Drosophila melanogaster: one gene and its partner. The protein of the gene in region 2 interacts with the protein of the main gene of each other region in a pairwise test. Each region holds a gene or a part of one and is shown on either strand. Other genes may lie near its edges.

Region 1 (12,403 bases), on a different chromosome or scaffold from region 2:
TCCAAGAAATTGAAAATGACTGTGAATGCGTGTCGTTAATGGGCTGTCCTAACCCCAGACTAAGGTTAAAGAAAGAGAAACCGAAAGCTGGACAGGAAAACAGGTAAACTGGTAAACGGCGGGGGTGGCCAATATGAAAATGCATTTGCATGGGAGGTTGTCTGGAAAAAGGCCAAAATAAAAATTATAATCTTATATGATGGGTAGTGCTCTAAATGATATTTTACGAAACAAACTGTTTAATGATGAGCCAATATTAAGTGAATAAAAAGGCAATCAGAAAGCTAACATATGTTTTCAATTAATCAGAAAAACCTTCTTAGGTTTTACATCACCTAAACCTGTATCTCAGCTAACTCGACTGCCATAACTTTGAAATGATAAAGACATTGTTATTAAACAATTTCGCATTTAAAGGCGAACCATGCCATTGCACTTCCTTCCACTTATAGGTCAGATCGTCTTATTCGATTACAAAAAAACCCATTTCCTATATCAAATTTGCATCTCGTGCGTTGAATAACAGCTGCATGCCAATTGTCGGAGGTTTATGAAAGGTTCAATGTTTCAGCCTTTTCCGCGCTGAGATTGCAAATGCGTTGCAGATTTTGGTTTTGAGTTTTTAGTTTTCAGTTTTGAGTTGCATTTCGCTGTGGCCGACGAAGACGAACTCAAAGTCGCGAGTTGCAAAAATTCCCACGTCGTGCGTGAGTGCGCGGGAAAATATTAAACAGATTTTCATGTCGGAGGAAAAGCATACGAAAAATCGCTCTCAACTGCAGTTAACAGCTTCGGAGATTCGATTTGAAAGGCGTTCGTCGTCGACGATTTTTTTTTTTTTTTTTTTTGTTGGCAATCGCATGTTGCGGCGTTTTTGCATGATTTCTAGTTAAAATGCAAAACTCTGGCTGCGATAAATAAATATGCATGCCTCGGATGCAGCGAACAATGTGGAAAAAGGCAACCGAAAACTTAAACTGCACTTTGAATCGAAACTGACGAGCAGCGGATGCACAGCCCCCATCTATCCCATTCCAACCCATCCCCATTCCCATGCCATCCACCTATTTGGAATTGGCCAGCCAGCCAACCAAGTTAACAGCGGCAAAATCACCAAACAGGCGGCGCAATTAGCCACCGCTGCCTGCTGCTAGTTGCAATTGCTCTCTTGCTTTATTGGCCATTGAATGCACCGCTCCGCATCCACCTGTCCGTCCGTCCGTAAGTCCGTCCATCTGTCCGGCCAACAAATGAGCCACTGATAAATATTATTAGCGCACGGCCAGTCGCAGTGGCAGTTGCACCACCGAAACCACCGAAAACCAAGTGCAAGACCAGGTCCTGCACCCAGAGTACACTGAAAGCAATTTTACATATATTCAAGAAGAATGAAAGGCCATTTCTGATATGACCTATATAAGTCTCATTCTTCAATTGCACCTTAACATTTTAAAAATATTTTATATTTCACATTTGTTTAGACCTTTTATTGCAGTGCACAGTTCGGTGCACCGGCTGCCACATTTGCGGCATAATCGCAATTTATTTAAATGCGATCCGGGGACTGCGGGGGATGGGACTATTTTGGCTACCACTTGAATTGTAGTCCTACCACAAGTGCTGCTGCCACTCTGCAATTAATATCGACATTTTAACACTTTACGTTGAAATATTGCATCTCTTACTCTTTCCGATTGTTATTATCAATGGGGGCAGACAGTCTTGCCGTCCGTTTATCTAGTTTGGTGGTCGTCCCTGATTCTGCGCAACAGCTTTTTGCCTTGTCTACTCTTATTTTGGCTCCTGCTTTTCCAAGCCGCCAAATCGCGGCTATTTCCTTTGCATTTTCGCTTTGACTTTTCCTATACCCCCGCTATCGTATTTCGTTAATGGGCGGGAAATGCAACTGTCGCCGCACACGAATGTCAAGGAAAACACCGGCGTACATAAGTAGAGATTGCCCTGGCTGCTGATTGAATAACTCCAATCGAGGTGTGATCGAACTAGTTCAGTGTCGGAAATTGCCAATCCTAAGCGTAGCAAATGCAGTCGTAAAGTTTTTCCTCAAACTGCTCGAGAAATGCAGTTAATTCGGTGCTAAAAAATGTGTTTTATGCAGGAGTATATACTGAGACTTTAAATACCTTAGAACCAAAAAGTAATAACTAAATTAAACGCAGCACCTGCAAAATTCCACAAAAACCTGTTGCTCGCATAAAAGTTCCCAAAACTCCTTGCAATGTTAAAAACTTTCGCCAACTTCCCTTAACGAACTGACCGAGCGTTTAATCACAAATCAACTTTCACGCCCCCCCAAAAAAGCGCAAATCACTTGAAAAATATGAACTAAAGCTAGCCACATTAATCTACAATTACTTTGTATGGCCAATGGTCAGAGCCGAGAAAAATGACTCAATTTAAATCAATAAAGGGCAGGCACTTTCGCAAAGGTACGTGGTGACCCCGAATGCTGTGGCGACTGAGGCATTCACTGGGATAGAGGGATAGAGAGTGACCCACCGTCTGAATGGCCGCATACGAGTGCCAGATCAACTTGGGACTGAGGGGCCGAGGATCGTAGTGCAGGCGGGCATATTGCTTCATGAATATTTTCCAGATTACATAAGCCATCGTCGAAGCGTCTCCGGTCATAAAGATCGATATCCACATGCAAATTATATGCGTGCCAGGAAATTGCCGGCACATCCACCTCCAATCCAGATTCGGGTACGGGTTTGGGTTCGGACTTGATGCGTAGTTTGTTGGATTGCGTTTATTGTTTTCATAAATAAAGCGCAGGCACACCGAAATTTGTCGGCTCGCATTATTATTATTATTATTGCTTATTATTATTGTTGCAATGGCGATATTCACTTGGCCAGACAGATTCACTTCATTTTTCACAGCACAATCGCACAAAAAAAAAAACGATTCGAACCGAACCGAATGGCTTAAACCAACAAAGGCAAAAGGCAAAAGGCTGGGCGCATACAAAAGGAAGGCAGTGTGGCAGATACTTTTGGCTCCCCCTTCTCGTGATCTTGTGTATTATTTTAATATTTATTTACATTTTGAGCATTTTGCATAACGCGCGGGTCACGACGGAAATCGTCGGCTGGCAATTTATCAATACATAGTTGTGTGGCCTAAAGGAAAAAGCCAGAGTTAAAGCCGCGGAAAAACTAAAAAAAAAAAAAATGGGCAGAAAGGTTCGCAGACGCGAAATCAAAACAAATGAAAAACGCGCCAAAAAATCAAAACGCGCACAAATTTTGCTTCACTGGGCGTACGTTTTCCTTTTTTGTGTTTTTGTATTTTTTTGTTGTTGTATTGCTGAATCGGTCGAAAAGATCAATATAGGAAAAACGTCAAGAGCCATGAAGTCCGTCTGTCCGGGAAACGAGTTCAAAGCGTTTGCGGCGGCCGCTTTGCGCCAACTAAATTGAAATGAGCGGAGCGCGAAATGGAAAAGCCCAGTCGGTATCGAGGGTGTAACTCACAGATACTCGTACTCACCCAAACCCATTTTCCACTGACTGCAGGCTTCAATGATTTTCCATGCGTGCGACGAAACGCTTGTTGTTTGCATTTCGCCTGGGCTTTTTCGCTTCATTTCAGCTTTTTTTGCTCAAATCGAGCCCAGTTCAGTTTACTTCAGCTCAGCTGACTCAACCGCTCGTTGGCCGGCAGAAAAACGCTCGCGGAACATCAATGGCAGCAACAACAATAAACACAGCACACCCACAATTATCGGTGATTTATAGTGGATGTGGATAGGGATATCTCCACTTTGACGTGCGCTTGGTCACCGATTGCATTAGAATACAATCAGCGAAGGAATACATTTACATACATTTCCGAGAACGTTGCTTTTCAATCTAATTGTTTGGACTTTCGACAACTCAAAAAATATACATATAAATAACCAAAGTATTATGCAGATCAATGCCCAATTATTGCGGGCTGCAAGATTGCTTGGTTATGCAAGGAAAATGATTAAAAAATTAAACAAAAACTGGACTATGTTCTATTTTATGTAGTAAAATCCCTGGCATTACTGCTACGTCTTCATTATCATAACTAAATTTTTTATCTTTATGTATTTGTATAGTTAATACTTCTCTTCCCAGTTCATAGAGTATCTTATAGTACAGTATCTTTCACTTCCATTTAGTCAGCATTTCCGACTGGGGACTGAGTTCTGTTTTATGCACAATGTTATTGTTTGCCCCGCTGAATAGCCGCCGCCCGTGTTTCATGCCCATCCCTCTGCCATAATTGTGGATACAATGCATCATATATAGACATCTTCAACTCCTGCCTTGAACTTGGCAAGTTCCCATATTATACATATGTATATACAAAATGAAGGGCTGGCTGTCCACATATATTTTGTTTGCTACTTTGTCGGTGTTTAGCTGAATGCCTTTTGACGGGCATTTGTTTACGATGCCAGACGCAGGCTTACCCTGGAACGCTAACGAGCTCGGGATTCCTTTGGTTCCTGGCTTCGAGATCCCCATGCGATTGCGTTATCCGGAACACGCGATGAGTGTTTACTTCGCTCTGGTTTCACGAAAAAAAAATCTGAGCAGTCGCTGAAACTTCAAGTGGTGCGAATAAACATTTGCCAGCGGGATAAACAATATATGGGCTCCACCGATGGCCCATAAATATAACTATTAAGTGCTCTTCCCGGTGGGTCTGCCATATATTCCACTTGCGAATGCGAACGGGCATTAGAATAAAGTTGCACAGCAAATTGGGTTGTGAGTAAGAGTATCAATATTTCCGCAGTCAATTAAAATCAATTAATTCCTAAGCTTTTTGTGATTCACTAGTTCGTGATTTGATTCCGGGCTTAATGACTACGTATATCATATATCATATGCCCTTTACAAATAGTTTTCTAATTTACGTTAATCATATGCATTATAATATTTTAGAATTTTACAATTAACTTTATGCATGCAATTGCCGCATTTCAGCTATTTGAAAATTCAGTTTCCCTTCAGACCAGTAACATAAAAATAAATCACCCATTTTGCAGTCTATTGGTTTATATCAGTTTGCAGCCTAAATATTAGAAAACTTTTTAATATGCCATGGGCGTTCAGCTTAACCCCTACGTGCTCTGTTTGAGATCCGCATTGTTACAAACACAAAAATTTCGAAATCGCACAAATGCCAGCTACAGATAATTGCCAAAAATCACCGGCAAAGTCAACTCAACTTTCATAAAACGGCATTCAATTTGATTTGCACAATTTGGAGGCCTCTTAGCGGCTCCTCGACTGTCGGTCGGTTTTCACATTTGTGGCATTTTGGCGTTTGTTTGAATTGATAACAGGCTGAAAGTGCCTTTCAAGCTGACAGCCATAATCGCTCAACGCCAACTGTTTGGCGGGCTAAAATAGTTGGGGGGTTGTTGGGGAGTTTTCCCGACTGCCAGGGGATGGAATTATATAGAACCAAGCCTATGTCTCCGCCAGGTCGATGGACACACCCATCCAGGCAGAGCGGGCGGAAAGCGGAAACGGAACAAAGCCTCAGACAGTGGCCAACTTGGGCTCAGACCAATTCAAACCAGCAACTCCGATGGAGAAATTATAGCGAGTCACGCGAGTGCTAAACTTTTCTAACCCTTCTTCAGCAGCCGGCTGTGCCCCGATTCGCAGGAAAACCAGAATTAGCTAAAAATTGCACCGAATGCCCGAAATGATTGTAGTTAATTGAATTTGCAGCCTGGCTGAATAACTTTTAATTGAATTCCAGCTAAAATCTAAAGGTTGTGAGCTGGAGTGATGACCCACTTGGGGATCTAGTGCAGGATGATCTAAGTTGGGTAATAAATACATAACTCTAATTGGATAGTCAGAAAAGGGACAAAAACATGTTCAGGGTTAGTAATTAGGCATACCTTGATAAAATACAAAACTTATTTTGCCGGCCTGTATAATAGAGCACTGACTTTATTGACTCTAGAAAGTGCTAAGTACTAAGGTAATGAAAAAAGTCACTTTTTGCGAATAATATTAATGACTACACAGATGCTTCTATTTATTAAGTTGTTCTTGTAGATTAATGGTACTCCTGTGATCAGTGTCAATTTCATTTTGGCTATGCAACTTCGTTAATATTCTGTTAAAGCTGGCTATTAAAAAAGTAGTAAACAGCTGTTTAGTAATGTCTAAAGCAGCCTTAAAATATTGAAATTCGAATAACACTCGCTCATTGGCTTTCGTAATTGATAAATTGAGCAACTACTTCAAGAGAATACCCTAAATACATAGCTATTCTATTTCCACATTGACTCTATCCAGTCAAGTCTATATATTTATTTGTTCACCAATGATCTCATTTCAAAGCCCATTAAATTCTGTAGCAACTGAGATTAAGTATATCAGTTTAATGGCTTTAGAAGTGGCTAAATGATGTGGTCACGTTGCTACTACCCTATTTCTTTCGGTGTACTCACGTGACACTGCCTTCTGGCCAGTCGGCGCCTAATCCACTTGAACGCCTCCTGGCGACGCCGGACAAAGGACATACTGGAGCGGTGCCACAGATGCAGGACGATGACGAGGACGCGCTGCACCCAGACTCCCAACCGCTCGCTCCACACTTCCCGGCGCAGCTGGAACATTAAGCACAGCACTCAGTCCGATTTTCAACGGAATCAAATACCATAACTTTCGCGAATGGCTAAGCACTGCGATATTCCTGGGCGGATTGGCCAAGACGGCGGGTAGCTAATAGAATTTCACTTTTGTTTTGGGGGCGGTACGCGGTACGGAACCGTTGTTACTTCAGTTGCGTTTGTTGTTTGACTGAGAATGCCGCCGAGTTTGTTTCTCCACCTCGGCAAACTTTGAGTGAGTGTGAGCAGTAGACTCCTCGACTTGAGACTCAAGACTTGAGACAGAGAGAGAGCCCTGCACTTGCGATTGTCACCGCTACTGATACTTATACTGTTTTTTTTTTTATTTTAACGTTTTTTTTTTTTTGTTGCTTTCCGCGTTTTGTTTATACAATTTTCTGGTGCGGACCGTGTGCGTGTGGCTTACTGGGGAACCCAGAAAAATCGTACTACTCGTACATAAATAATGCAATAAGTTGGGGCCCCACCGAATCGAGACAAAAACAGAAGGTGGAAAAATTGAAAAAAAAATCGAAACTGTTTTTGCATTCGCTGCACACATACACACACACCCATCAAACATCACACCTCTTCTGCTGTCCGAACACTCGAATACTTGAATACTCGGCTTTTAACCGAGCTTTGCACTCAATTTGATTGCCGGCAGAAGCGGCTGCAAAATCCACGGTAGTCACATGCGACACATGTGAAACACGCAGGGGAGGCCCATTTTACGGTGAAGGCGAAGGTGTTGCTTTTGTAATCGGCGGCCTAGGCACATTGGTCGCAAAACAACTAAAATGGGTGGTCAAATTTGGTATGTGACTCAGTTCAAAATATACAATATACATATATATCCAAATTAGATTATTAAATGGAATGTACAATTTGGAATAATCAAATATTTTTGAAATTATCTTCCTTGTCAAGTGGCAGTATACGACGTTTCATGTTAATATTTAATATGTTAATGTTAATGTTTAATATTTATTATTTAATTTAGAAATATTAAAACAAAGAAAGATTAACGCCCATGGTAGTGCAAAATTTGTTTTAAAATTAAAAAAAATATTTTATACACTTTTAATCGGGCATTTCTCCATATCATATTACCACTGTACTTGCACTAGTTCGTGTGTGGGCGTTTCTAGGCGATCCCTTGTACCGCGCCCAGTCTTCGAAGTGCAAGCGCCGCTAGGCGACGAAGGCAAACAAGTGTTTTGGGTGTCTGCTATACTCGTAAAATGCGAGGAGGATAAAAGCCCATGGAACGTCTATCGGAAAGCTTTTGGAGCGTAGATTAATGTTACTGGCTGTGGTCGGTCTGCTGGCCGTGTTGCTATTTTGTTATTTACCCGCTCGTTGCCAGTACGGTTATTTATTTATTTATGCTAATGTTGCTGGCAGAGCCGCTGACGCTGCATTTGCATTGTTTAGAATGAGAACAGCGAGAAAACGAGCGCAGCAACAAAAAGGGGGCACAGACAATAACAACAACTATAACAACAACATGTGCAACAGCAACTGCAGCTACAGCGGTAGCAACAAAAACACGACAAGTGGCACTCACGCGACAAAGGCCCATATATAAAGTGTTCTCATGGTTATCTCGTTGCCTGTGCGATACTTTCAAGTGTTTCACATGCAGAGGAAAAATTGATTTTTATCAATATAATAAACAATACACATATTCACATACATAATTCACTCACTGCAAATCATTTTCATTAAATCCAATTCATAGTTTTAAGATTTCACAAATTTGTTTAAGCACCCTAATAATATGTACCAAAAAAAAAATTTCTCACTGTGTGCGGATATTTTGGATACAAGCACATAGAAAGTTCGAAGTTCCCATCGCGTAGAAATTGATGGAAAATTCTCAGCACGTTCGTCAGTTGGTTCTGCTGCTCCGCTTGATTGACAACTGGGCGTCGGATCGCCCAGCTCAACTTGAATCGTTGAAGTATGGGCTTGAAATGCACCTGTGGCTCCAAACTTCGACGAAACCAGAGGCGAAGATGTCGCCGCTGGGCACGATGATCGATGGGGATCCAGATTCAAAACCAAGTTGATTTACCTCGACGATTCAGCGGATATCACCGAAAGTAACCACCTTTCACAAATGGCTAGAGTTAAGTTTGATAATAAGCAGAAATGGAAATCAGAACTAGCAGAAGTTAGGTGTACTCAGCACTAGCACCTATTGTTATAACAACCAAAAACTCTACTAACTTTACATATATTTAATTATTTAATTTCAATCTATCCAACATACCTTAGTTATTATAATCATTCAGAGAACACTTAAATAATTTTAAGCTTCGAAATCGATCTCTGTTCTTGATATATTTTCTTATTCACCATGAACTCCGACAAATCGGAAAGTGACTTCGCGAACAAAGTGCGCTTTCACCTCAGTAAGGACGAGCTGGAGCGGCAGATGAGGAAAATTCACGACCGTGAGGAATCCGTAGACGAAAAAATGCGTCCATCAGGAAGCGAAAACAGCGGTCATAATTGCAATACGAGCTCGTCCTCAAGTCTGCCACGGCAGGAGTCCTGGATCTTCGAGAGCGTTGGGGGTTACTTTCTCGCCAACGAAAATTTGGCCAAGATGAGTTTGCCTTGTCAGGAACAGTTGCTGATGAGGGATCTAATCTATGCCTTCTCGGGTGTTCCATCTGCATATGTAAAGCCTGATATTCAGATCGATCAGATTTCCGAAATGTCTGCAGTGGATATAGCCAAGATTCGCTTTCGATTGAAAAAGACCTTCACTGGGGCTTTTAGGGCTTTGGCCAATGAAACATTACCCCTGATAGGTTATTATATTAGTGTACAGAGCTATATAGAGGAGACCAATATGTCGCCTAACTGCGGAAGAACACGACTGACCTTAGCCACTGCCTTAAGTGATCAACTGCAGGACTATTATGATCTACAGTCCAAGTTGGAAACGGATTTGCAGGACAAGAAGTTGGATCTCAAGGATCTGGTGCGACAGGTGCGTCCTTGGTTGCCTATTTTGAAGACTTTTTCCAACATGGCCAGCAGTGCCCGTGGCAATTTGACCAGCGCCCAGGTCCTAACATTGCTGGACCAGTTCTACCGGGATCTGAAGGACACTGATATAGATCTAAAGGAACGAGTGAACAAAATTTTGACTTCGACTAGTCGAGCTTACATGAAAATTGTTCAGCTTTGGATGCAAAAGGGTGTTCTATTCGATACGCAGCATGAGTTTTTTGTGGAGGACACGGAGCCCTCGAGTACAATGAGCAGTACTCTTTTGGCGCCGGAGAAATGTTGCCACGCCTACTGGGCGGAACGGTACCGCCTTTTGCCAGACCGTTTGCCCGGTTTCTTGCTTTCCCAGGCGGATGATATTTTTCTGGCCGGAAAGTACCTAAACATTTTGAGGCAGTGCAATGTTTCATTGAAGCTGCTACAGCGGCCACTAGCTTATAGTCAAGGCGATTTGGGACATGAGGAGATCATTAAAACAAGCTATGAGCTGCCAGCACATAAGTTTCTCAAGGTTTTGGTGGAGGAGCACAATTTGCCTTTACACATTCGCAATTTGAAGTCCTATTTCCTGCTGCAGGAGGAAGGCTTCTCCGAAACTTTTCTGCACAAATGCCATGAGTACCTAAAGTACAATGTGGAAAGGTTAATTCCCGAGAAGCTACAGACTCTTCTAGCAGAGACCCTGCATAAGTCCAATGATTTCATTAAGGATAATGTTCGCTGTCAGCTTAAGGTTTGCGATGTAGCCACACTATTGGGTAGGCAACATAAAGCACAGAGAGCTGTAGAAGATGAAGAAGAGGAGGAGAAGGAGAGCTGCAGCGAGCAGGATCCTCCGGAGGTCCTGAATCTCTACGGCTACGAGGCATTAGCTCTTGGCTATGAAACAAAATGGCCACTAAGCTTTATTATCTACCCGGAGCTCCTAGAGCAATTGCAGATGTTACAGCGTGTCCTGTTTTTTTTGCACTATGTGAAACATCATTTGACAGTCCTTTGGCAAAGTCCTTGTGAGGGTACGGGTCTCCAGCTAACCAATCGATCTGGAAAACTTCGCCACCGCATGCTAATGTGTATGCTAAGTCTGGAAAACCACATCATCCAGGACATCACCGAACCCCGATGGCAATCTTTGACCTTAACGGTGGACAAGGCAAAATGTATCGACGAGGTACTAAACAAATTGGAGAGCACCGTAGAAGAATGCCTGCGTCTGGGGTTACTACCCACTGCCAACACGTTTGTGAAATCTCTATACACACTCGGTCATGTGTGTCTCAACTTTTGTGACTTTGTGGAATCCTCGATAGGAGAGAAAAGTACCAAAGAACTCGAGCAGGAAGTGGTCGAGTACGAAGAGGAATTTAAAAGCTTTTTGACCAGCATTTTGGAGTTGGTTAGCCAGTTGGCTAAGACGAAAGACATTGCGGAACGGGACTCCTGTAAACAATTGCTCAAACGACTTGGGGAGTTAATTGAGTTCTCCGATTTGGATAAGGATCAAATAGCTTCCAATATTTAATCAACGGCATCAAAACGTGTCCAACAGCTTCGCCAAATCACCCGTGCTTTTTACTCTCCATGACCCATGGAACATTTAGTGCTGTGTTTACTTAACTATATTATAAGAGCGTTCTTGCAAAATGAAGTTAACTCTTTCATTTACTTTATTAATCCTTTGAGATTCAAAAAGCTATCAATCCATTATCCACAAGTGTGAGCTTGTCTTATGCGTATGACACCTGTGGCGCTCTTCCACTTTTAAGTTATTGTTAAGTGGCGCACAATGGGCGTGAATAATCGATGTGTGCGTTTAATTTCTGGCCAACGAGCATTATGTCGAGTCACGGTGGCAAGTTTGGGGGCTAGTGCAACGAAAGCGGCGATTTGCATAAGATCGTAAATTATTTTAAATGGCGGTAAAGAGATTTTAATGCAGTCCCGCAGCCTCAGCCTCAGTCTGGGTATAGCCCGATTCGTTGGAGGGGCCAAAGCCCGCTGCCAATTTGAATTCAAAGGCCAATTGTTATGTAAATGCACTTGCCTCAGTTGCAGACGCACGCAAGCGCACGAAAATTGTATTAATAAATAAATGGGGGAAAAAAAAGGAAAACTCGCGAGCGGCTGTCCAGAAATCACTTAATACTTATCGCTTTAAGGACAACAGGTGGTCGACGTCGATGATGATGATGCAACGTAAAATGTATCTGCAACTTTGCATTCAACTGCCCAGAGCGGGCCAATAATAATGCACTCGAAATTATGGTAAAGTTCAGATGCATTGCTTCCGAAATGTATATCATTATCTGCTTGCGAAAATGATGGACTGCCGCTGTCGGTTTGCATTCAAATTTACCCCTACCTCAATGGCGTTTACCTGGAGTACTTTGGAGCGGATTGACCAGAGGTTGCATGGCCGTGGGAATTCCCCCAGCTCGGCTTGGAGACGGACCATGGTGTTTTCTTTCTCCGTTATGGGGGCAGGTTCATTAAACTCGGGAGACGCCTCGTCCACGGGATGACTTCATTTGTGCACACAAACCAAACATAATGCCTAGAAATGTCATAAACTTGAACCCGCCAGCTGGCCGTCAAGCGGAAGCGGCTCTTCAAGGTTCAATGGGCCCCTAATTGAGAGCCGAATTTTATTTGGCAAACGGCCAGAGGCAGTCAACCGTTTAGCACGATGGGTGGGTCACTTTGAATGGCCAACAGAGTAGTTAAAAATAGAGG
Region 2 (12,150 bases):
GGCCGGACCATCCGTGCACTTGATGCACTGCCTCAGGTTTTTGGCCGCCTCCGCCTTGTCGATATTCTGGTAGGCTGCCCCAAGCAACAAGTAGCCCATAGCATTTTCAGGCTCCGATTTAAGTAGGCGCTGCAATAAAGGCATTAGGATGATGCATAACTGGTATGTTCTATGGTGACGTCACTTGGCACTTGGGTATGGCTTCCGCATGCTTGCCCAGCTTTATGGTCTCCCGAATGTCCTTGATCAAGGCTTTTGACTCTTTTACGGCGCTCATTGTAAATATTTATATTTATTTTTCATCTATTCCAAACAAACAGTGATGGGTAACTTGATTTTGTATAACGCCAGTGTTGGTCACTGCTGCATAAGGTGCAACAGCTGTTAATTAAATTGTGTGCTAATTAAGTGTCAGTAAAAATGCACATTATCTGCAAGTCGCAGTGCGGAAATCGCGCTGCTTTGAAGGTAGTTCATAAGTTAAACAGCCCCTAATAAATCCTAATAATGTTGTTTGCCCAAAGCGACCCAAAACCGGCGATGCCCTGTGCAAGGAGTGCTTCTTCGCAGCCTTCGAGGCAGAGATCCATCACACAATCTCCTCCAGCAACTTGTTCCGACGTGGCGAGAAGGTGGCCGTAGCGGCCAGTGGAGGCAAGGACTCCACGGTCCTAGCGCACGTGTATGTCGTACCATTCCCCCCATCGCACCTCTCTAATCCAAGTGTTCTACAGATTAAAACTGCTAAACGAACGCCATAACTACGGTCTGGAACTGGTGCTCCTTTCCATAGACGAAGGCATCACTGGATATCGGGATGACAGTTTGGAGACAGTGAAACAGAACCGTGACGACTACCAGATGCCACTAAAGATCCTGTCCTACGAGGAGCTCTACGGCTGGACCATGGACCGCATTGTTGCCCAGATCGGCCGTTCTAACAACTGCACATTTTGCGGCGTCTTCCGCCGACAGGCCTTGGATAGAGGGGCCAAGCTGTTGGGCGTTGATAGCATAGCCACAGGCCACAATGCAGATGACATTGCGGAGACTGTCTTGATGAACGTGCTCCGTGGGGACACGGCGCGCCTGCGACGCTGCACGAGCATCCGCACCGGCGGGGGCGAGGATACCATTCCCCGAGTGAAGCCCCTCAAGTACAGCTACGAGAAAGAAATCGTGATGTACGCCCACTACAAAAAGCTGGTCTACTTCTCAACGGAGTGCGTATTCGCCCCCAATGCGTATCGCGGCCACGCTCGAGCGTTTCTCAAGGATTTGGAGAAAGTGCGACCATCGGTTATAATGGACATCATCTACTCTGGCGAACAGCTTCGCTTCAAGGACACGGTAAAGAAGCCCGAGCGTGGCACATGCACCCGATGTGGCTTCGTTTCCTCACAGCAGCCGTGCAAGGCGTGCGTCCTTCTCGAGGGTCTAAATAGAGGATTGCCGAAGCTGGGCATAGGCAAGAAGTCGAAGGGCGAGCGAATGATTGCCAAGCAGAACCAGGAACTAGCATTGCGGGAGCGAGCAAACTTAGTAAAAAACGATTTTTAAGAACACATATGAATTTTATTTATTCGTGATTCCACAAGATACAAATTGTGTTCATCCAAGGTTGCCAACCTGAAAAGATAACAACAGGAACGATAAGTTTGGTTTCGCAGGCTAATTTCATTAATACTAGAATGCATTATGAAGCTCAGTGCCAAGTTTTTAACCAGGGCCCATAACCAGTCAAACAAGACGCTCTATCTCCAAAAGAATATTGAAGAAGATTGCCAGCGCTTGACCTTTATATGGTGTCTGTGAATGGTTTAAGTGATCATCATTGAAATCTTCATTTCCGCTAAACAGAATCTCTTTTCGTACTAACCTTTTTAGATATTGGAATTTATAAATGAACCATTGACGGATTCATTTTGCTACGCATGTTTCACATCTGTAAAAAAAAAAAAAAAATCAAAAACAATACAAATAAGTAGTTATTCAAATATAACTCAATCGTTTAAGCGATTTTAAAATGATCAGTTAATTATATTAGAAAAATTTGAATCACAACGGTTCATTAGAGATGTCAGAAATTTTAAAAGCATCATTTACATATTATTTCGTTCTAGAGTATAATTTACCTTTTCAAAGGAGAGATCCTTGTTTGGGCATATGACGCGACAATCAAAGGTGGTTTTCTTGAACACTGCAAAATGACAAAAATTAAATGGTTATAAAGAGCAGCAACCGATTTTCTAAAAAACTTATAAAACACAAAAATAATAAAATGAAGGGGTTTCAGTAAAAACTCGTATAGCTTCATAACATTTTTCAGTCGAAAGATGGTGTAAGTTTCATTCATCACAACACAATTAATTGTCCAATTTACACATAAAATTTAAACTAAATTTTTTTATTATCTTAAACCGAATTATTACCTTTTTCACTGTGTTAGTGAGCCACGTTTGATACATGATATTGACGTTGCAATGAACTGAAATTAAAATATATTTGTGTTATTCAAATGTAACAATCTTTTTAACAGGTTTTTTTAAAGCGTTTAAAATTCAGTGAAAACTAGTATAGCATCAAAATGATTTTCAGTCGAAAGATGATGATAGGGTCATTCATCACGAAATTTTAAGTAGTTTTCATAAATGAAGAGAATAATTACCATTTCACGCTGATAACCTCATTTATATTCCGAATCCAAATCGAAAGACCGATCTGCAAGTAATAGATGAGTTCTCATAAGTCACGGCCACAAGTAAAAATTATATTTAGTTGAGAGTCGAATGTGTCAGAATTAGTTATAACTGATTTGAATCACAACGGTTCATAAGAGATGTCAGAAAATAGAATTATAAATCATCAGATAACTGAGAAGGGCTAATTTGGGATTTGGAACGAATTCTTACCGTCTGTCTCTCTCCAACTCTGCCAGAAAACACGTGTTGAGCATAAGAGGCCATTTTGTTTCTGAAAATGGAATGCTGGGTTAGCCATATTCGCAAATACTAAACTTAGCTAGTTAAGAGGGTTTAAACTGTCAGCTTCACGAAAATAATATGCACCGCAAACTCGGGTTTTTTAAATTTGGGTTATGCTTGGGCAAAGCACGTTTTTCTGCGAGCAAGTAAAAAGCACTAGCTAAAGTAGTAGTTTCTTTACACCAGCGACTCATGCTCGCATGAAAATATTAATATTATTTAACAAAAATATAAATAAATACAATGATGAAACTTACCAATTCACAAATGCCAGCGCTTTAACGCAGCGCCTAGTAATCACAGATTCACCTGCAATATAAGCAAACGCATCGTTTAGCTAACGTTCTTTTTTAATTTTTAATTTGTTGAGACTGCAATGGAATCTCGACCACGTGACTGCAATTTGAATTGCAATCGGTGAAGTGCATTTCCCTGCGCATCACAAATTAATCTTGCAACATTGAGTTCTGCAAACAAGCCAGTAGAACTCGATTTGCAGTTATAATCGCTGCACTCACCGGTCGCCTATCATATCTATAATACTTACATTTTTATATATATTTTTTTAATCGTTTCCAATGCGGTGATGTTCGCTCCACGTTCTTTAAAAAAGTGAAGAGAAGCCAGTGAAGTTGGCGGCGATTGGTGGTGCAGTGTGCACGCTGCTTGTACTTTCAAGAATACTGAAACGCCTAACGCCTGCGTTTGTGGTCTGTTTTCAAGGTGGCGCACTGTTATGAAAAACTGATTTACCAAAACAAGTTCGCATTGAACGATTTAAGTAAATACATACAAGTTATTGCCCCATATTAAACTTAAGTCAATACTTGATTTAATTTAATAAAGAAGAAAATAAACAAAGAAAAAGAATTCACACAAATAAAACACTAATAATATTTTATGTTTAATAAACTTTAAATAAAATGAATAGATCTTAGACAAATACTACCCGACTAGAAAATACTCTTACTCAGCTAGTGGATATGCGAACACGAAAATTTATCATGATAGATACTGCTAAATAAAATGAGAAAAAATTAAAAATTGTTCATAAGTGTGTTTTGAGCGTTTTGTAATTATAAGGAGGGGTGTGGCAAAGGTGCTCGACTTGGCTATTGATCCTGATCAAGAATATGCTTTTGTATACTATTTTACACTACGAGTAACGGGTGTAAAAACTCAAAAGCTGACCAGTGCAAAGAAGTTTTACTTCGATTTATCCGGGTGGTAATATTCGATTGCAGCACTTGCAGCTCTACAAACGCGGTGGTTCTAACTGTTTTTCTTGCGGACCAGACTGACGCGGCGCCAAGCTTTTTTTGTTTCTATATTTTAGGCTTAATTGCGAGTGCACGATGACGGATTTCAATGCATCCGGAGTCATTCTGTCTTTGGGTACGTAAAAATGTCTGCTCAATTTGTGATCGTCCTTAAAATATTCGTTTTTTTTATCTGACAGATGAGTACTTCGAGCAATGCGTAGTACCAAAACCCAGAATACCACCACGATACTCGAGTAATGCAGCCCCCAAGGGCGATAATCGCCAGCTGGGGCACTTGCAAACCTACAAGGACCAGGATCAGGGTGGCGATACCGATGTTGAAGTTGAAGATTTCCAGGGTTCCGTGCTAGCAAATGGCCAATCAATTCTAACCGAGTTCGATTCCAATGTTTCGCAAATCAACTTTGAGATTAATGACTTTGATAAGGTGTACTGCGAGACGGAGTCTCAAAGCTCGGAGGCCTCACAAGGCTCAGCCACGTGGCGCATGAATGGTAACAACGTCAACCGGCCATCAGCGGCGGCTCAACTGGGGCTCAGTGACCAGGCACGTGGTCACGTTAAGTCGCGCCTTGATCTGAGAGAAGGCTCTCGATTTCGTAATAATTTTAACAAGAGACGCAATCGTCAGTATAATCACCATGAACGGAATGAATTCCATCGTCATCAGCACCAGCCCCAGATTGCCAAGAAGGAGGTCCTGCGCTACGCCTACAATGCCTTCAGCAGTCAAGAAATCCATTCAAATCAACAAACTGACCTTGACATTGATGTAAATAAACATTTCCAGTATACTCACCAGGCACCCACTGATCCGCGTAGCAGCCGCAACTACATGGGACCTGACCACTACGACTGGACCGGCTCCACCTCGATCGGCTCTTTAATCGATTCGGTGTCCCACATTCCGGATAATCGTGTCAAGAACCATTTGCCTTGTGAAACCATCACGCGTTACACGGACAACTCGATGAATGTGTTTGCTGGAGAAGCGCAGGATATTAATAAGCCGCAGACTGACCTGAAACCCGCAGCAGTTGATTCCGAGAGCATGAAAATCAGTAAAATGGCCCACAACGTGATGCTCTTGCTCAAGAGCGTTGCCCAGCAAAACAACCAAGGAGACTCGTGTGACATCTTCAAGGTAATATTCGAAATCATGTGTAATCTAATACCACACAATAGAGATTTGAAAGAAAGCCTTACAAACTGCACGTGTAAGAAAAAAGGCATTAAGCTTCAAGAAATGATTCATATTAACTTTGTATTTTTAAATAAGTTTACGGTTTTCTTATTTAAGAACATCGACTGGATAAACGGACCGATGGAGGAGTCCCGAAGTGTCGCATTGCCTGAACGTGAAGGAGGAAGGGACCAACTGCAACGTTTTAACTAGAAAACCGACATCAAGTTGCATTTAAGGGATCTATCTGACTTCTGTTATTTCTAAGTACTCAGCAGCCCATGTTTAAATTAAGTTCGCCGGATTGGCGGGCACTTTCTGTGCGAATTGCGAGTCGACGCAGGCAAGAAGAAGACGATTTCGACGATGCCCAGTGAATGGCAGGGGTGAATAGTCGCTTTCTGCCTCTTTTTTTTATATATATAACACATATTTCGGCTGATAAGAACAGGCTGGGCCTCTTATCAGTAATGCACAACAAGAAGTACACACGGACGAACGAGATGTGAGAAGCGAAAGCGGACGAAAATAGAAACAAACGGCGATAAATTTACAGCGAAGGCGATTTTATATACATACATAACTGATGTGCCGGAGACGAACAGAGTAATAATCAGTTAATCTGCCAAGCACCCAGAGAGCGGACGTGAAAATGATCATCGGGATCGGATAGCGGGATAGTTAGTAGTGATCGTAACTTAGGATAGTGTGCTAAACACTAACCTCAACCTATGTTTTGTGCTTTGTCGAGTGTAGAACGAACACGCAGTTATTTTGTTGTTTGTGCAAAAGCATTCGAAAGTGGCCAACTGAAGAAAGAGCCATCGATTCTTTGCATTTGGTTACTTTTATAGCGTAGTCTTTTTCCCAAACGATTTTCTTAACGAATACGAAATAAACTGAACACAGTACCCTAAATGTGCGTTGTTCGTCTTCGGTAGTGCCAAGCATGTTGAAGTCGAAGCAGTTGCTCCAACAGTTTTCCAAAGGTAAGGATGTGTGGGTTTCCGGAGCCGAAATGGCACAACTTGAGGTGTTTTACACACCCTAGCTATCTGTGTTTTCGTTGCCGCCTCCATTATCAGCCTTAGGCATGTGCTGGAGTAAACTAATACCATATCACCAGATCCGTAGGCTCGCCTTGACAGCCTTAATCGCATCTGACGCCGACCAAGCCGAAGATTATCAGTAAACACTTTTTCGCCAAATTCTTTGTCACGATGAACTTTCCCCACGCACACTGGCTGACAAAATTATTCGCTCAGAAAGTGGATATTATCTTAAATATCCTTTTTGGTTTCCGGATTAACTTAACTTAACCAACTTTTCAACAAGTATTGAACGCAGATCTCAAAGTGTGTGTCACTAAACTTTGTTATGCTATAATTATATTGATTATAAACAAACAAATTTTACATACTGGATAGCTTGATTTTACTTATCTTTAATAATGGTATTTAAAGCTCACTGCAGTATGTCAAACCATTAGGAAAATCTACGAAAAACATGATTGGTACAAACCAAATACATAACATTGTTTCATTAAAAGTTTTAGAGGGAAAATACTTTCCACTTGCACTGTGTTGTTTATCAGCTGTTCCGGGAAATTTCCATTAAAACCTAGTAGTTACACATCGATTTCGGCCGTAGGATGCTTCAAAACGGCAGGAAGATTATTCCCGAGGGTTTGAGTAAATTTCCCGTGACGAGGACCCACATTTGATCGGACTAACGAGGTCTTTCGCTTGCAATTGCCATTTTGAACAGAGTACGCTAAATATACGCCGACCAACTTCAAGCTAAAGCGGGCCCTGGTCGTCACCAAGCTGTCCCGCTATGAGTTCGAGCAGCTACGCCACCCGGAACTGTCTCCGGATCAGCTCCAGCAAAAGCTCCGTGACCGGGGCACCGACGTGGAGATGGTCCTCCATCTGCACAAGGTGCACAAGGACTTCGAGCGGCGGGTCGTGCAGAGCTTCCAGGACGTCGGCTGCGAGGTGAAGTTGTCCAGCAGGTGCGTACCCATGTAGTCCTCCAATTCAGTGATCGGAGTGCAGCTCAAAGCAACGGAGGCCATAGGTACATGTACTCAAGTAAATGAGTAAATGTACTCAAGCCATGGAAATGATTTCATTGCTTTGAATGAGATTAGTTCTATGAGGACATGTACCCAGACATCCACACCTTTAGGCCTCCAATCACTGCCACCAATGTTGTGTTGCGTGCCTCGTCACTTCGTCACATACTATACCTATATGTATCTTCGATTTGTGACTACTACCCGCTACAATTGATCTCCACCATCTTCACACACTTCGTGTCTCCCATGCGGCACCTCACCCTGTGTGTTGACTTTACTAAACGAGCAGACTTGAATTTAGAAGCTCGTTGAGCAAGGACGTCATGAGCTGGGCGGACGTCATCGTGCCGGTGGGCGGCGATGGCACTTTCCTTCTCTCCGCCGGACGCGCCAGTCCGCTCTTCGCGCTCAGCCAGCAGAAGACGCCGATCGTGGGCTTCAACTCGGATCCGCTTCACTCGGAGGGCCGACTCATGCTGCCCAAGCACTACTCGGATAATCCGGCCGACGCCGTTTCCCGCATCAAGAGCGTAAGTCCTGGAACGAGCCACTTCTCACAATTCATTCATTAAATATTCAAATTCCTGGCAGGGAGATTTCAAGTGGATGCATCGCTCGAGGGTGCGGACTACGATGCTTGGTAGCAACGGCAATATTCCGGAGCCGACTGACCTTTTCCGCCACACGGAGGTCAAGATGGAGCAGGTCAGCACCGCACCCGAAATGCTGGACCAGGACATGGCCTACAAGTACAAGGCCAAGATGAAACGTGTTCTTCCTTACTTGGCTTTGAACGAGGTAAGACAATTAGGATTCTATGCTGGATTGCTTAGATCTTACAAGCTGTCTACATAGGTATTTATTGGCGAGCATCTATCGGCCCGAGTGTCCCACTTGCAACTGGTGCTGGACCACCAGGACGTGGTGAACAAGACCAAATGCTCCGGACTGTGCGTCAGCACGGGCACGGGCTCAACATCCTGGCACACCAGCATCAATCGCATCACAAGCCGAGATGTGGACGACCTGTTGCGTTCCCTGCCCGACGGCGATTCAAAGAACGTGATGATGCTACGACAAAATGCAGAGGAGATCGCCCAGCGGTACAACCAAGGCCTGCTCTTCGCGCCAGACGACCCGCGCCTCTGCTATTCCATCCGGGAGCAAATCTGCGTGGGCGTGTGGCCTTCGCCAAAGACTTTTAAGGAGCGCGATTTTGTGCAGACCGTGTTTGTCAAGTCGCATTGCATCGATGCCAGTGAGTAGTTGGACATTCAAATACGAAACAAGATATAACTATGACAATTACATCTCCACAGACCTGGTTATAGATGGCAGCATTTCGTTCCCCTTCAACGATGGCGCCAAGGCTTTGCTAGAGGTTCACCCAGAAGATGCCCTTCTGACAATCGCTTTAGACTGAATCCAGTGATGCGCCCCTAGTGCCTGGTCATCTCGCTCTAGCATGTCTGAATTTTTGAAATTATTTAAGTAAGCATTTTGCAACTACTTAGCAGTGTAAGCTCAAAAGTTATTTTGTTATTTTATAAAAGTATATTTAAACATCACGCTTTATCTTTCTTGACATCTGCTCTGCCCTTTTGGGCAACTGGTTTTTCTTTGTTAAGCCTTTTCAGTGGCTTGGTTGGGGTATCTTCTTGGGTGGCTCTACTTCGTCCTTTTCCCTTCTTCTCAAACCTCGCACTGTCTACAGATTTAAAACGCTCGTCCTGTAGGAGAGCTTTGCCCTCTTCGCTGGCTGCCGGCTCTGCGTGCTGCAGTTTTCTCTTTCGGCGTATTTCCCTTAGTTTATCCTTCTGTTTTTTACGATACCTGTGGATGGGATACAAAAATTGTTATAAAATACAACGAATATGCGTATTTTCCACTGCTTACAAAGCTTCCATTTGGTCGGGGTCCTTCCCCTCCATAATCCACGTCTTTCGCCTATAGTTTTGCGCTCGCTCGTCGAAATCGTTATTATCTAATTGCATCTCTGATTCACGGCGCGTGACATTTACTTGCATAAAGATTCTCTCCACCATGCGCTCTAATTTATATAATATATATATTAAAGATAGTTATTTTGTGTGCCACTAATTCCAACAAAACTTACGATCGATGGGATGCTCTGTAAGTTTGGTGTTGATCTCCTCCTCAATGGCGGCCAAAAGCTCTAGATCGCGTGGAAAGCGGAATATGGAGATGGACATGCCCTTGCGCCCCGCTCTTGCTGTTCTGCCTACGCGATGGATGTACTCCTTTGGTGTCCGGGGAAGCATGTGATTCATAACCAGCTCGACGCTGGGTATATCCAGACCTCTGGCGGCCACATCCGTAGCGATCAGTGTACGTATTTGGTTGGACTTGAAGCGACTTAGAGCAGCTACGCGCTCCTTTTGCCGCATGAAACCATGCAAGCAAACATTATCGATTTCCATGTTCTTCAGTGTCATCGAGAGAAGCTGACAGTACCTAAAATGATTCGTTATTAAATCCTTAGAATTTACTTCCTATTATTGTGCAACTAACTTTTTTGTGTTGGTGAAGATCATGACATTAGCGTTTTCGTTCTCCTCGCGATACTTTCTTAGTGCCTCTATTAAGACCATGTCGCGATCGTAGTCGGCGCACAGCAGATAACGCTGGTCCAGAGTCTCTACAGTGGCCACGTCTGAGTCCTGCGACCATTCAAAACACTACATTCGGATTAAGATATCTATTAGTACCATTCAACAGGGTATTCATAAAACTTACATCGCTGGCAATGGGAAATATGCTGGACTCCTTTATGAAGTCCTTCATGGTTGCGGAAAAGAAAAGGTTTTGCCTTGTCTTTGGCAAACAGCGCTCAATGATGGATAGGCTCTCGTCAAAGTCTCCGTTCAGCATGCGATCCGCTTCGTCAACAACCAAATACTTCAGATTGTCGAAGGAGAAGGTGTCGCAGCCGGTTAGGTGATCCGCGAGACGGCCGGGCATGGCCACCACGATGTGCGGTCGCTGCATAAGCTTCTGGCTCTCGACCATTTGGTCTGTGCCGCCAGAGACAACACATACGCGCACCCCCATCGCCTGTCCAGCCACAAGAAACTGCTCGGAGATTTGATAGGCCAACTCGTGCGTGGGCGTCAGCACCAGGGCGAAGTGGCTCACTGGCTCTTCGCTCAGCCGCTCCAGAATGGGCAGGGCAAAGGCGAAGGTCTTGCCCGAGCCCGTCTTGGCAGCTCCAATGCAATCCTGGCCCGCCAATATCGCTGGGATGCATTTCTGTTGGATTGGAGTTGCTCCCTTCAGGCCTGAAAGCGCAATGGTTTAATTACTTGGGTAAACCCGTGGACGGCTTGACATTACCCAACTTGGTCAGCTGCTTAACCAACCATGGACGTAGGCCCAGGATCTGAAAGGGATTGGCCTCCTTTCGTTGCATTTCGGTAAATAAAAATACAACGAAATAAAAAAGGAAAACAACGTGCGCTGTATTAGTGATGGAAGTATTGTCTTCTGTATCGGTATATAACTATCGATACGTTTTTAATTTTTGCTCCGTGTGAGTGGTTAGCTGTATTTAGTACGCATTTTTAATTTAAATTCAATTAAATTTTTTATTTACTTCAACCGCAGAATTATTGGCGAGTAATAAGAAAAAATTCACTATAAAATTAATAATACATTTTATAATTAATCGACAATAGTCACGCTCTAGACAGGTAAGATTCCGCATCTATGGGCGCGATCATTTTGTAAACACACTGAATATTTCGATTTAGACTCAATGCAAAGATGTCCGAAAACCATGATAGCCTGGGTGCATCTGTAGCCTACAGTGAGCTGGTGGCTATAGACCAGAAGGACATCATCCTGATGATAGACTTTGATTCGGCGGTTTCCATTTGCTCAGCATGTATCGCAAATAAATCCGCGAATCCTGTGGATGTCTTGACATTGTGGTTCACCAAACTATTAGGAGCATACATCGACGATTCCGGGTATTGTGTACTAGCAGCTCGGGAAATGTGCAAGTGGTTCACGATCGTAGGTAATTCTTACACAATGCGCTTCAGTCTATTAACTTTAAATTCGTCCTCAGGAAGCAGAAACTGGCAATGAAGTCCACAGCGGTCATATAAAACTCATGTCTGTGGCACAAGAATTTGTATCCACATTCAGGGATCGATTGCTGGAAGCAGGCGAACGTTTGGTTCAAATCCTTGCCTATCTTGTCTTTACAATTATCGACTTCTGTTTAATGTGGTAAGAGGGGCTTGGATAAAACCTATATGTAAAATATTTCTATATATTTTTGCTTACATCATTCAGCGATAAGAGTCATCGCCAGATTGTTGCGGATCTTCAACTCGAAACGCTTTCTTTAATAAAGGATTCTATCATTAATTTGACAGAAGTCCACCCTCGCCTTGCGACCTGTAAGTTAGGAATACTAACGAATTGATACACCCAAAAATTTGAGTATTATCTGAAAGTTGTTGTAGACTAATTATAGACTTTATATTAAACAATTGTCAGTGATGCAAAAGATAATGGAAATCGCAGATACCGAAGGAACACGCACTGGTGATCTGCAGTTATCTGTACAGACAGGCGAGACGTTGGCTCATA

Evidence for each region.
Region 1: the proteins of Boot (region 2) and Pura interact in a two-hybrid assay, tested with the Drosophila melanogaster proteins (one large-scale study listed by BioGRID).

The regions. Positions count from the first base shown.
Region 1 is NT_037436.4:7,587,521-7,599,923, reverse strand, and holds the start of Pura (Puratrophin-1-like), read right to left. Parts: upstream 6,834-12,403; 5' UTR 6,647-6,833; coding exon 6,479-6,646; intron 2,695-6,478; exon of another isoform or gene 2,671-2,694; coding exon of another isoform or gene 2,521-2,670; intron 1-2,520. Other genes in the region: t-Grip84 (testis-specific gamma-tubulin ring protein 84), read left to right, coding at 9,006-11,192.
Region 2 is NT_033778.4:9,086,721-9,098,870, reverse strand, and holds Boot (bootlegger), read left to right. Parts: upstream 1-4,212; 5' UTR 4,213-4,339; coding exon 4,340-4,379; intron 4,380-4,443; coding exon 4,444-5,411; intron 5,412-5,567; coding exon 5,568-5,663; 3' UTR 5,664-6,365; downstream 6,366-12,150. Other genes in the region: CG8777 (uncharacterized protein), read right to left, coding at 1-129, 185-277; Ctu1 (cytosolic thiouridylase subunit 1), read left to right, coding at 421-468, 525-682, 735-1,560; Nadk2 (NAD kinase 2, mitochondrial), read left to right, coding at 7,102-7,141, 7,218-7,464, 7,820-8,060, 8,122-8,328, 8,386-8,788, 8,850-8,953; Dbp45A (DEAD box protein 45A), read right to left, coding at 9,096-9,363, 9,427-9,580, 9,647-10,005, 10,063-10,229, 10,288-10,829, 10,885-10,960; CG13742 (uncharacterized protein), read left to right, coding at 11,314-11,565, 11,621-11,784, 11,851-11,957, 12,058-12,150.